Rhinolophus ferrumequinum: one gene and its partner. The protein of the gene in region 1 interacts with the protein of each later gene in a pairwise test. Links are inferred from orthologs where the notes say so. Each region holds a gene or a part of one and is shown on either strand. Other genes may lie near its edges. The genes, in order: SERGEF and DPH3.

Region 1 (7,080 bases):
TACTTATCATACCAGTAATATTGAGAGGATCAAATAAGATAATCTAATGGAATAAATTTCCTCACCTGTATGGTATGGAGATATAGTCTGTATGGCCCAAAATACTTTATAATTTCCTTTTATGGGGATATAAGGCATCTGAAAGTGATACCCTCAAATAGTTTAAATCTCGGTTCATTCAAGAACTGCAACTCAACCAGGCTACGAATGGGAAGAGCTAGTGAGTGGCATGTAAATAGTTGAAATAGTTACAACATCTCACCACTTCCAAGAAATTGTATTAAGGAATATAACATAATAATATAACTGTAAATTAGCTAAAGCATTGCTGCATGTATATTCAAGGGGTGAAATCTCCCAGACCTTCTCTCTAGTAAAACTAGCTCTGTGGGTAGTTCTTTGCTCCTTTGGGTGAAATCTTGGGTCCTGGCCTTGAATTTTCTGTTCACTCTCAGTCCTTAGCTTGTAATATCTCTGTGTCTCTTTCTCTCTCTTCAGTATTTTAAAAGTTCAGTCTTAAGTAAAAGTTACAAACTTTACCTAAGTCCACCATTTTTCTTCTTCTTTAGAACTGAGAAAGGGTGTGCTTAGCTTCTTTATTTTCTTGCTCCTCCTTCCCCACCCTCTGAATGCCTCTGGCTCCTCCAGGGTTTGGGAATGATGGCAGAAAAGAGAGGTAAGGAGTGGAAAGTTCTTTTTGGTCTGATACGGCTGTGAGTAGGTATCAGGGCTTTCTGTACGTGGTGAGTATTTAGTGCTGACTCATTCTCTGTGGGTGTTTTGGAAGACCTTCCCACCTTATTTCTTAGGATCTCTTGATGTGGGTAAATGTACCTCTCTGACTGGGCTGTTGAGTTCATCTCCCTCAGCCTCTTAAGAATCTAGTGGTCAACTCTCTTGGGGTGTCACTTCACCCCTCCAGAATTCCCTTGGACTGGGTCTAAGACCATCCCCCTGGCCAAATTGCTCTTGCGTACTCAGACTTTCTTTGTTATGAAAAACGGGGTATGAAAGACCTCTCCAAAGCATCAGTCTTTCTTGTTCAACTATTAGAGCAGTGATCTAACTAAAAGTTATTGGATATCTCAACACGAATTGGACGGCAGCTTGACTGGAGGGATACATATGAAGCTCTCTAAGTAGCCCAGCTGAAGCATGCCTTTCCTTAGACATGAGATAGGCGGGACTCACAGCATATTGACAACTATTGCCACATACTATTTCCCCCCAAAAATAAGACCTAGCCGGACCATCAGCTCTAATGCGTCTTTTGGAACAAAAATTAATATAAGGCCCGGTATTATTTTACTATAAAACCAGGTCTATAATATAATATAATATATATAATATAATACAATATAATACCGGGTCTTATATTAATTTTTTGCTCCAAAAGACGCATTAGAGCTGATGGTCTGGCTAGGTCTTATTTTCGGGGAAACACGGTATCCTATCAGAATTCTCTCTCAGTCTCTCCAATCTTTTTCATACACTGGCAATCATACCCTGGTTTCTAGACACCTTCACAAGTTATTTTTGGTGGTCTTGTACCTCATTTTATTAATATAATGTGGGTGTATTGGCACTTAATGTCTTGGGGTCTTAGCCCAAACAGATAGGGTGCTATTTTTATGTCCTATTACATATGCATCAGCAAGCATGGTATAATTTTCGCACATCAAAGTCTCCCGGAACGAAGAGCTGCTTTGCCTCTCTAAAGTTTGTATTGTTCTTAGTTAGCCTGGCCATTGATGTTCTCAAGATGCCATAGGCTGGAGAGGTAAAGGTGAGGTGCTGCCCTCAAGTGGTCTTACAAGCAAAAACAATGAGGAGTGGGTGGAGAGAAAGAACAGGAAAGGGCTGAGCTCACCCCAGACACTCTCCAGGGCTCTGAGGCATAAAGGGTGAGGAGTTTTGGAGGCTTGTGTCAACAGAGGGGTCAAGAACTAGTGAATATGGATTATCATCTTTAATGCGGCCCCATTTGTAGCCATAATAAAATGTGTGGCTTGGAAAATGTGGGTTATGTACAAAAAAGAAAATAAAAATCACCTGTAATATACCAATTTTCCATTCAAACGTGCACACACACACACACACACAGATACACACCTGTGGAAAATTGGTATAATACTTTAACAACATATCATGAATATTTCCTTTATTTAATATCTTCCAAAACATTTTTAAATGGCAGCCTAGTTTATTCCATTGCATGGCTATGTCATAATTAAATCAATTTATTTTTGGATTTTCAGGTAGTGAAGTTCTTTCCGATTATATGTAACCCCATAATGAATAACTTGCAGTTTAAGTTTTTGTGAACAGCTCTGATTTTGCTCTTGTGATAAATTAACAGAAGTGCAATTACTGGGTAAATATCTATTTATCTATTTTTATGTTCCCAATAGGCATTGCCACATTTTCCTTCAGGAAAATTGTACTTATTTAGCTTCCACCAAAAGTATATGGGTGTTTCTGATAAAGGCCATTGTATATGAAAATTTTTGTTCGGTGAAAATTATCTGGTATTGATGATCAGAACCAGGGCAGGTCCAGGCTCGGAGCTCTGAGTTAGAAGGCTGCCCTGGCAGGAATCCCCAAGAACAAGCCTCCTCAGTTCAATGTCCCGAGGTGTAAGTTCTCGTTGGTGCCAGGCGCTGAAGGAGACACCAACCATGTAAGACACTGTACTCGCCTACCAAAAAGCTCCCTCAGATTTTGCAAACGCACACCAAAGCAAGCCCAGCACACCAAAGCAGGCCCAGCGACAGCGTGGCCTAAGACCCTGGGGCAGAACCCTTCCCACCCCTTCCCAGGCTTAATTTCTTCCCCATTAAATGGTGACACAATTCCTGCCCTGCTAGCCCCTCTGGGCTGTCGTGGGGCTCCAAAGAGATAAAAACGTGAAGGAGCGTGGTGCACTCGTATAGAATTATAAGGTGAGGGAGAGACACGGACCCTGCAGCACAGGAGGCCGGGGGCGGAGACGCTCAGAGCGCGCCGGGGCGGGGCCACACTGGTAGGCGGCTCAGGAGGCGGCACCTGGGCGCGGTCCTCCGGCCCCGCCCTCCGCACCGCCCCCTCGCAACCACAGGCCCCGCCCCTCGCCGCCCCACACCCCCAGGCCCCAAGTCCCTCCCCCGGCGGGCCCCTCCTCCGGCCCCTTCCGGAAGCGCTCGCGGAGTGTCTCCGCATGGAGCGCGAGCTGAGCGCCTCCGAGGCTACCCCTGCCGCGGTCGCGCTCTTCGCCTGGGTACGTGGCTCCGCCCCCGGGCCGGGGCCGCTGGGACTGAGGGTCGCACAGACGCCGGGAGCTCCGGGCCTCGGCGTGGGCTGTCCTGGGCTGCGCAGCTGAGGTCCGATCCCGGCTCCAGCTCTGGGTTGGAGGATCCTGGGCTGGGGTCTGAAGTGGAGAGGGCGGGGAGGGGAGGGTCTTCACGCGGTGACTTAGGGGGCCTGCTCGCTGGGGGGGTCCGGACCGGAGGGGTTGCGGCGCAGTGGGAAGGACCTGTCTCCAGGGCAGAGCGTCTGGTTCGGCGAGAGCTCCGGGAAAGACCGTGGAGGCCTCTGGAGAGAGAGGATCGCCCCGTCGGGCTAACTGTGCTCCCCACCCTCCCATTGCCTGGAGGATGGAGGCCTCTCTCCAGCCCTACCCCAGCCTGGCGGGAGCATTATTTGATGTGAGGCCTGCGGTGTTTGGCGGCGCACCCGGCGGAGACCCTGCATAGTTACTGATATTCCGCTGTGACCGGATCTTGCCTGTATGGAGGCGTGGGAGTCTGCGCTGGTGTTGGTTTGACGGGCACACTGAGAGACTAGAGGCATCTTTTTGTCTCTCGTGGTTGGGAGAGAGGAGGGTCTCTGCACCGGCGTGTGTGGCAGGCACCGACCAGATGCACGGGAACAACCAGACGCAGTGTCGTGTGGTTCTTCATAGCCCACATGCCAATTGTAATGAAATGTATAATTTGTTAATGTCAGGCTCCTTGGCTAGAATGTAAGCGTGGTAACGGTGGGTACCGTGCCTGTCTTGTTCACGGTGCCAGGGTCCTGCTTGTTGTAAGGTGCTCAGTAAGTATTTGTTGACGAATGAATGAATGAGGACCTGTTGTGTGAGAGCTAGTACGTGCTGGTCTTTTGAGAAAAGCACCAGAGTGAAAGACTTCCAACTCTAGTATTGGGTGGGGGGAAAGGGAGAGAAATACCTGTATTGCTGTTAAACCAGGATGTATTAACTAGTTGGAAAAAACAGTAAGTATCAGTACAGGGAGCGCTTGTGTGTAAGACTGCAGACTGGCAGGAGGGAGAACGTGGTGTGGCCCGAGGTAGTCTGAGTATCTTTGAGCTGGGGGTGGTGTTGGGGATTGAATGTTTGCCTGGCCTGGGTGCTGTCTCTAGCTTTTCCTAGGCCAGAGACTGGTCTGTGGGGACAGAGAAACATCTGACAGAAAAAGCCTTTCAGATAGGGCCTTGTCTGTACTGAAACAAAAAGGCTGTCGAATCTAACCCCTCTGCTGTGCTGGGAGGCCTGACGGTGTGTGTTCTTCCGGCTGCATTAATGTGTGTGGAGGGGTGTATTAGTTTGCTCTGCTGCCATAACAAACTACCAGAGACTGGGGGGATTGAACAATGGAAGTTTATTTTCTCACAGTTCTGGAGGTCAGCAGTCCAAGATCAAGGCGGCAGCAGGTTTAGTTTCTTCTGAGACCTCTGTCTTTGGTTTGCAGATGGCTGCCTTCTTTCTGTGTTCTCACGCAGCCTTTTCTCTGTGTGACAGCATCCCTGTGTTTCTTCTTATAAGGACACCAGTCACGTTGGATTAGGGCCACATCTTTATGACCTCATTTAACCTTAAGTACCTTTTCAAAGGTCCTATCTTCAAACACAGTCACATTCTGAGATAGAGTTTCAACAAATAAATTTTTGGGGAACACAATTCAGTCCATAACAAGGGGATTTACCTCCTTGGAGTTGTGTGTGTGTGTGTGTGTGTGTGTGTGTGTGTGTGTGTGTTTATGTGTGGTGTAAGGAAGGGAGGCAAATACAGCTTAATAAGTTGTACTGAAATTTCCTTTTGTTTTGCTTTATCATAGATTTAGGATCTCTTGCTGCATTATAAAAATTTGGTCCCATAACTTGAATTCCATAATGCTGGTATCTGACTTTCTGTTCAGCAACCTGTAGCCTTGGTAATGGGGCAGCCACGGAGAACTCAGGGTTGACAGAGAAATCCTGTGCATTGCCCTCCATGTCACAATGGAAGCTTTTCATTTAATCTTTCCTAGATGGGGACTCATAGGGTCTTACATTAATTCATTATAAAATATATGCAACTTTCTCTGGGCCAGCACAGTTTCAGATGCAGGGGAATAGCAGTGAGCAAAACAAAGTTCCTGCCTCATGGAGTTTACTTTTTAGGAGATGGACAGTAAACAAGTAAACTTGCAATGTCAGGGAGTGCTATGAAGAAAGATAAAGCAGAAAAACAGTGAGGAAGTGACAGTGTGCTATTTTAGGTAGGGTCATACAGTTAGCCTCCTGCTAGGTGAGCTCTGGGCTGCTTCACCATATGTCCTTTTTTCTTTATTTTTAGAGACACAGTATAGAATAATGAAAGGAGTGGGCATCCAACGTATTGCCTACCCAGCTATGTGACTATGGAAAGCTACTTAACCTGTCTGTTTCTTCATCTGTACAATGACAGTAACAGTGCCCACCTCCTCTGTTGTGAGACGTAAAGATGAATGCCCAGCACACGGAGAAACACTCAGTGATTGGTAATAAATATTGCCCCCTTGGACCTCTGGGACTTGTGTCCCTGCCATGGCTTGCTCTTCCAGCTTGGAGTCCTTGCAGCCCTGGACAGCTGTAGAATAGACCACAAGGGGCAGGGGCTTGTATTTTTTGTCGTTATTTTAAATCTCTTTTCCTCATTCAGGTGTTCTTAAAAAACGAACACATTTTAAAGGTTTTATTACTCATCTTTAGGAAGACCCAGCCAGAAATAGATACTTGGAGAAATTATAAGGATTTTTGAAATCATAATAAGATTCTCCTCACAGGTTCACAGTCCCTTATCTTCCATTTCCAATACAAAAAGCTCTGAACACCCCAAACTGACCTGACAGAAGGCTGTTTATAGTTTTTACCCACTTATTGTGAATATGTGTACCGTTTCCTGCAGAAATAATACTGCTTTGCTTATGGGGTGCTGCTCCCAGCCCTTGCAGCAGTGTATATGATTTATATACCGTATTACTTTTCTAAAGTCCATAAAATTCTGCATCTGAAATATATCTGGCTGCAAGGGATTAGGGATTATGGACCTTTATTGTATAATAACAGCAATAGACGTATTGCTCACCATGAGGAGATCTGTTCCCTTACAGGGATCTCATACTCTTAGAGTCACAAAACATAGTACTTGGAAAGGCCCTGAGAGATCGCTGCCAGCTTCTTTCACTTACAGATGAAATAACAATGATGTGCCCTGCTGGAGGGTTCAAAATTCTTTGTTACAGAAAAAGTCATTGCCAGTGTTTCCAGTGAGGGTGTGGGGAGAAGGGACAAGAAGTAGTCCCAGTGTATTTCCCACCCACTTTGTTCCCATTTCCCCTCATTATTTCTGTTCTTAGCCACCCCAGGTAATTAGCTTTTCTCAGAAGGAACTCCCATGCTGTCCCCAAAAGCAACATACGGGGGTTGGGTGGGGGCCTTGGAAGGGGAAGGGGAGGCGGATCGTTGGATAAGCTATGCACGCTAAGGGCTCCTTTCACGTGGAAACTGGTGCCCTAGGGGTGGGGCCACCGGCTAAGTGTGGGTCGCGTATAAGAATGAACCTATGAAATCGCATCTGTTCTAGGCTCTGAGATGTTGTCAGAGTGCGAACCATAAGGACAGGTAAATAATCATTGCCTGTGGGGGTTCTCATTCTTTTTTTTTTATTTTTTTTTATTTTATTTTTTAATTTATTGGGGTGACAATTGTTAGTAGAATTACATAGATTTCAGTTGTGCAATTCTGAATCACATCATCCATAAATCACACTGTGGTGTGTTCACCACCCAGAGTCAGCTC
Region 2 (7,080 bases), on another chromosome or scaffold:
GGTTCTAGGGTCAGACAGTTGTTGAGTTCTCACCATAACTTACTGCCACTTACCAGCTTTACCTCTTTAGGCAAGTCTCCTTAGCCCCCAAACCTCAAGGGCCCCAATGGTGAAGATGGGATTAATGATACCTATACCTCACTGGGCTGTTTTAATGACATAGTGCATGTAAACCATTTGGTACAGTGCCTGGCACATAGTGTCAATTATTATTCATTAATGCTTCATTACTTTTTCTTCTTCCATTTTAAGTAATACACAAAGTATTGGAAAAGTACAAAGAAATTATACAGAAAAATTACCCAACGACCCCTATAACTTTTAGGACTACTAACCTCAGATTTTAAGATTCCCCAATGAATTGTTTTGAGAGATCCAAATTGCTTTCTAAAAAGTCTACCAATTTATACTTCCATGAACCAAATACGACTGCACCCAGCACCCATTTCTGTACTTTCAGAAATGGCTGGCTCATCTTTAATTTGTAGGTACTAATTCCCAGAAGCACTGGAGAACTAAAGATGGTTCCCAACCTCAAAACGCTCACTGGGACTACAGAATAGACACTGGTGACTCTCCCCTGTCCTCCTGACCCCAAGAGGGTACCTGGGAAGTATCTGTGTCTACAGGGATATTAGGGAGTAGCCAAGGGGCAAAGTGGGCTTTACTAGAATTTCTCCTTTGCTTAAACAGAGCAGAATCATCCCAGTTAACGCTCCAAAGGTATAAAAATCTTCCCTAACCGCTGAGTAGATCTCCAATTATGCAAAATAGAGTGTTTGTGAGGCTTTTGAAATAATCCTCTACGAACTCCTTTAATGTAACTTCTAGATTTTCTCCCAAAGACCCCTCTGCCTCCAGCTTTTCAAGCCTCAAGAGAGCTAAACCAGGTGGAACTTCACTTTCAGTGGGCATAAAATTGGTAACTTCATGCAAACATTTGAGTGTGTGTACATAAATAAGCATAGGGATGTTTATATATGTGAATATAAACTAAATACGGCACATATGATTGCTGAACGACAGCATAGGATGTTAGATCTGAACGGGAACTTGTAAGTCAGCTCTAATCCAACCCATTTTAGTCAGAAAAATAAAGCCCAAAAATGTAAATATCCAGCTCCCAGAGCTAGTTCACAAGTCAGATTCTGAGCACAGATCTGCTTCTCAATAGCACTTTTTTCACTGCACTGCGTTCCTTCTCTACCACGATTTGAATTACTGCCTAGTAATGAAGCAAAACCCCCATGGAATCCGGTTATACCAAAATACACACTAGCACTGCTTCCAAGACAAAGCACCTTTTATTTGCATTTCGCTTCAAGGTATAAAGAAGCCTCGTGGTAATAATGCTGTGACTGCTGAGGCCATTACTTTTACAAAAAAGAAACTGTGGTTCACATAAATAATTTGTTCCCAGGCTTTGGGGACAGGCAGCCTCTTCATTTCCTAGGTGTATGATTTGGGTCAAGATTCCCAATTCTCTGTATCTTAGTTTGACGATAAATAATATGGAATAACATCTAAACTCCCAAGGTCGATGGAAGAATTATACTTAGCGCAATGCCTGGCACATAGCAAACTCCCTGTTAAAAGGTGATGTCATTACAAATCACTATAGTAAATAATGATATATGCTTGGCAAACACAGGACTAAAACTCAATCTGCCTCCCAGGTCTTGGTCCTTTCAGCAACACAACTTGGGGCATTTGAATATAATCTGGGCCGAGGAAGAGGCGTGGGGGTACCTGAAGAGCCGAGTGCAGCCAGGAACTACAAGCTACGCGTCGCCCTGAGCTCAAGGTCACCCGGTGAATTGAAATTCCAAGGGAGCTTTTCGTCGGTCACTGGGAAGTCACGGAGAAGATCACGAAGGCTGAGCTTCTCCAGCCAGTGCCGCCGAAGACCAAGCAAAGCTGCGGCTCTTTCCCCAGGGGCACCGAGTGCCAGGACTGTGCTACCTAGGCCTGCGGCGGTCTTCAGCGGGGCCTGGGTAAGGCCTCTCTAAGGTCCACGGACTAAAATCCACACGACAACAGCCGCAGGGAAACTCCTCCACGCCGCCATCACTACACCTATCGGGCAGCTCCGGGCCAAACTCCGCCTCGGGTGCCTGAAAGCTTCCGGTGTCCGGGGCGTGACAGGGCGGTCACGCGCGCGATCCTCATATTCTATTGGCCACTTCCGTCCAATGGGTGAAGCGGGGCGGGACACCACTGAGCCGCGAGCGCTGTCTTCCAGTGTCTCCGCCCCCTTACTCAGCCATCTCCATGGTGACCGTCACAGGTCACCCATTTGGCCTCGGAGCCCGCAGTTGCGTCATGTCTATGCGCCGGAAACGATAGTTCCGGCCCCGGGTGCGTGGTGGCAACCCCAGCTGGGGCCGGCATTCGCCAAGTTAGACCGACCCGGGTCGGTGTCGGGCGGCCGGGGTGACAAGCCCTCTGCTGGCCCCAGTGACGATGGCGGTGTTTCACGACGAGGTGGAGATCGAGGACTTCCAGTATGACGAGGACCTGGAGACGTATTTCTACCCCTGTCCGTGTGGGGATAACTTCTGCATCACCAGGGTAACTTCTGGATCCCACCAGGCGACTCATCGGAGCAGGCGCGCTTTTGCTCTACGATGTTGCTTCCGCCGATCAGTCGCCCATCCGGCTCATAGTTATTCACGCCCATTTTTATCCTGTTTGTGAATCTCCCCAAAGTTGATACTCTGAGCTGTCAGTGGGCCCATCATCTGGCCTTTAGTCGGGATGGGGAGGCGGGCAGGGAGGGAGTGGCTGGCTGGGAGCATCAGACTTCTCGCCATCCTCCCCGACTTGGCGTCCCACGTCGGGTCCCACTTCTTGGGATGCCTTTTTGGAGGAAGGAACGTGTTTTTGTCTTCCCAGAGGTTTTGAGGCGACTGAACCTTGACTAGCCTTCCTGGGTGTTTTCCCCAAGAGACGCTTCCATGGAGAATGCGGTCTCCAAGGACGTTTCTCTCGGAAGGCCCTTTTGGCCCTCACTTACCTTGCAGGGAGGCAGGCCACAAAGGAGCTTGCCCTTATGAGTGGGAAGGTTTGGGAGGAGGAGATTGCCAAGGGAAGACTTTGCTGATCATACGGTGTTTGGTTTTGTTATAGGAAGATTTGGAGAATGGGGAAGACGTGGCAACGTGTCCTAGCTGCTCTCTCATTATAAAAGTGATTTATGACAAAGTAAGGGGTCGAATTCTAAAAGGTGGGGGGGAGGGTTTCGATCCAAGAACCTAGAACAGTCTGTCTATAGGTAAGGCAAGGGGGGATGTTTTCTAACAGTGTGTTAGGTAAATACTATGTTTTTTATAGCAATTTTTAAAACCCATTAATAGCCGTATTGTAAATTAAAATTTTTAAAGTTCTAATTAACTCATTTTGGCTTTGACGGGGCAATAAAGGAAACTGCTCTGTATCTAATGAAAATTATTGCTTACTTACTAAATAAATATAAAAAAATAATTATACAGGTTAATTCATTGACGGTCTTTATTCCTCCTTTATTTAATCAGTAATTAAAATTGTTCAGAGTTCCTAGACTTTTTCAAGGGAACAATTGCATCATATTCTTTCCTGGTTTATACATAGAATACCTGCAATATATTGTTTGAGAAATAGTCGTAGTTGCAATTTTACAATTTCATTTTAGCCTTTAGTTGTCGTATTGTTTTTCACCCAGGGGTATTAACAATAGAAAACAAAATAAATGTTATCACTGCCCAGCCCCACCCCAACTTTAGGTTAGTACTTTGAATAAAGTCTTAAGTAAGAAGCTTAACATTCTTCTTTTTGAGACATAATTGACATAAAAGAAAGCTTAGCATCTTAAGGATGAGCTCTAAAATGAGTTTAGGGAAGGTGGGAACAAGGTAGTTAGCTTCATGAGAGAAGCAGACAATAATTTAGACTATAATTTAGAAGTTTACTGATTTATTCTTGTATTAAAGTGTGTTCTGGGAAAAAAAGAGAACAGGGTAAAGGAGATCAAGAGTGCTGGTATGAGAAGAGGTTGCAATTTTAAATAGGGTGATCATGGCTGGCCTTATTGAGCAAAGATAGAAAGAGGTGAGGGAGTGAATTCTGTATATACACAGGGTAAGAGCAGCCCGGCAAAGGGAACTTTCAGTGAAGAGGCCCTAAAGCAGTGCAAGGAGGCCACTGTGACCAGAGCAGAGTAAATGAGGGTGAGAATCATCCAAGATGAATTAGTGGAGTGGGGCAGATCACAGAGATGTTTGTGGGCCACTTTAAGGACTTCGGCTTTTCCTGTGAATGATATAGGGATCCATTGGAGGATTCTTGATCAAAGAAGTGCCATGATCCAACTCAAGTTTTAAAAGAGGGATTCTGGCTGCTGTGTTCAGAATAGACTATGAAGGAGCAAGGATAGAGGCAGGAAAACCAGGGAGGAGGCTGTTAGACTAATCAAAGGAGGGGATGAGTAGCTTGAACCAGGCTGCAGCAATGGAGGTATTGAGACGTGGTTGAATTCTGGATACACTTTAAAGGATAGGGTTTTTTTTATTGATTAGATATAGGATATGAGAGGAGTCAAGGATGATTTCAACATTTGTGGCCTTCATAACTGGAAGGATGGATTTACCATCATCTGAGGGGGAGGTGACTGCAGATAGTGGGGCAAGAGTGGACATACTATGTTTGAGAGGTCTATTTTTCATCCAAGTGGAGCTGGTGAGAAAGCAATTGGATATGTAAGCATAGCATTCAAAGAGTGTTCAGCTGGCACTGTAAATTTGGGAGTTGTCAGCATATAGGTAGTATTAGAGCCATGAGATCGGATGAGATCACCAGGACTATGCATGTAGTAGAGATGGACAAGAAAAAAGGACTGAACTTTGGGCCACTGCAACATTAAAAAATCAGGGAGGGAAGCTAAGAATCAGCAGAGCTGGCCAAAAAGGAGCAACCACTGAGGAAGGAGGAAAGCCACCGGTGTCATATCCTGGAAGCCAGATGAGGAAAGGTGGAGGAAGTGATCAGCCTTATTAGATGCCACTGATAAAAAGATAACAAAAAATTAACAGTTGGCTTTAACAGGGATGCCATTTGTGATGGTTATAGGAGCTGTGTCAGTGGAGTAAAGGAGACAGAGCCAGATGGGTGGAAAACCTGTTGGAGAGAATGAGAGAAAAATAGGAAGCAGCAAGTACAGACATTTCTTTCAAGGATTTTGCTGCAAAGGGGAGCAGAGACATGGGACAGTAACTGGTGATGATGGAGAGGGCTTACGGTGGTAGACATTCAGCTACATGGGTGAATGTAGACAAAGGAAGTTAGATTTAACCAGGGTTATGGTTTTGCCAAGTGAATAGGATGGAGTGAGAGATGAGCAATTACCATAATTGACCATGAATTTAAACTAGATAAAGAAAACATTAAGGGAGTGAGGGGGCAGTGAAAAGGTGGTAGGATGACTACACTGGATATCCCAGAGGAGTCGGAATGAGGGATCCAAGAGGGGAAGATGATAGCAACAGAGATGAATAGTGATGATATAGTCTCATGACAAGATTCAAAGTTGGTGGGTTTTAGAGAGGGAAGGAGAACAGTGGCAGAGAGGAGCAACCAGCCCCTCCGCCAGACTCTGTAGTACTGGGGCTCCGAGAGAACACAGAGCCTCATTTCAGGGATTACAGGGGAAACAGTGTCCTTGCAGGCTGGCCTCTTCTCCACCTCAGCGTTGTGGGCATTTTGGGCTGAATAACTTTGTTGTACAGAGCTCCCCTGTGCAGTGGAGGGTGTTAAGTAACATCCCTGGCCTCTACCCATTAGCCAGTGCACCCCCTTTTTCAATTAGGTCAACGCAAAATGTTTCCAGACATTTCCAGATGTCCCCTGGAGACAAAATCAACACCACACCACCACTACTACACCTTGAGAACCACTGTGTTAGAGCAGAAAGGACATTTAAAGAAGAGGTTGAGAATATGGAGCATTGTGCTGATGATGGACCATAAATTCCAAAGAGCACAGTGGTTCCAGGTGCTGGGCAGGAGTGACACAGCAACAGGGACAGAATACAGACTGATCCTATGGTGATCAGATTGCAGGAGATGAGGGTAACCTGGGAGGCAGAGATTTCTTGTAGCTGACATAAGCAGGATAAATAATCAGAAATTGGACTTCATTTCTAAAGTAGCTAACATTGCAGATTAACTAAAAGAGCTATCCTCGTTAGTTGAAGTAATTACTTTGAAGGGGACAGGTATTTGAATGACCAAATACTGAAGTGGAGAAGTTTTTGTGTAAGTAGTAATTAATACAGACGCTTAAAAGGTGTGGCAATGTCTTTATAAATGATTTCTGAGAAGTGGATGCTCTGTAGTAAAGATGAGCATGTTTGTTTATAAGATACGGTGCTTAATATTAAATATGAATTCAGGACTAAAAACTGATACACTTCTAAGTTTACAATTCTGGTGCTGACATTGACTCTTTGAACATGGATGAAGTGATAAAGCAATGAAAAAACTCACAGAGCTGGATTGATTCTGTAAAAAGATACAAGTTTAATATTGATGCATTTGTAACCCAGACACTCAATGATTAATATTTTGTTCTTTCTTAGGAGCAGTTTATGTGTGGAGAAACCATCCCAGCTCCTTCCACTAACAAAGAATTAGTTAAATGCTGAAAAAGACTCTAAATCCAAATCCTGAACAGTTGGGAATGAGCCAAGCTGGAAAAATCAAATGCAAAATTACTGGCTTCTTCATGAGGACAACCATTTTGTAGTTTGCTATTCTGTGCGAGTGTGGATTCTTTCTATCAGATGCTGAGTTCATCTCCAATTAAAGAAGCAAGTCCATAACGTGACATACCTGGATTTTGTGCTTAGAACTTTGGATTGGAAAAAGTAGTCTTAATTTTCCATCTGAATTTAAAGGAAGATAATTTCAAATCAGTGCTTTCTTTTCCTCAGTTTTGTTATTTTTATGTCTTATAACTATTTTATTATCTGATAATAGTATCATCTACCTCAAAGTCATTAGGATTTCTTATTTTAAAAGGTATTTTATTTTTAAATTGGTTAGTAAG

The links.
Region 2: the proteins of SERGEF (region 1) and DPH3 interact in binary tests that used the Homo sapiens proteins (3 or more experiments, as listed by UniProt). The link is inferred for Rhinolophus ferrumequinum from reciprocal best matches to the Homo sapiens genes SERGEF and DPH3.

What each region holds. Positions count from the first base shown.
Region 1 is NC_046294.1:35,805,873-35,812,952, forward strand, and holds the start of SERGEF (secretion-regulating guanine nucleotide exchange factor), read left to right. Parts: upstream 1-3,112; 5' UTR 3,113-3,196; coding exon 3,197-3,256; exon of another isoform or gene 3,257-3,359; intron 3,360-5,596; exon of another isoform or gene 5,597-5,780; intron 5,781-7,080. UniProt on the Homo sapiens protein: Probable guanine nucleotide exchange factor (GEF), which may be involved in the secretion process.
Region 2 is NC_046300.1:30,642,248-30,649,327, forward strand, and holds the start of DPH3 (diphthamide biosynthesis protein 3), read left to right. Parts: upstream 1-2,315; 5' UTR 2,316-2,463; coding exon 2,464-2,571; intron 2,572-3,129; coding exon 3,130-3,204; intron 3,205-6,610; coding exon 6,611-6,676; 3' UTR 6,677-7,080.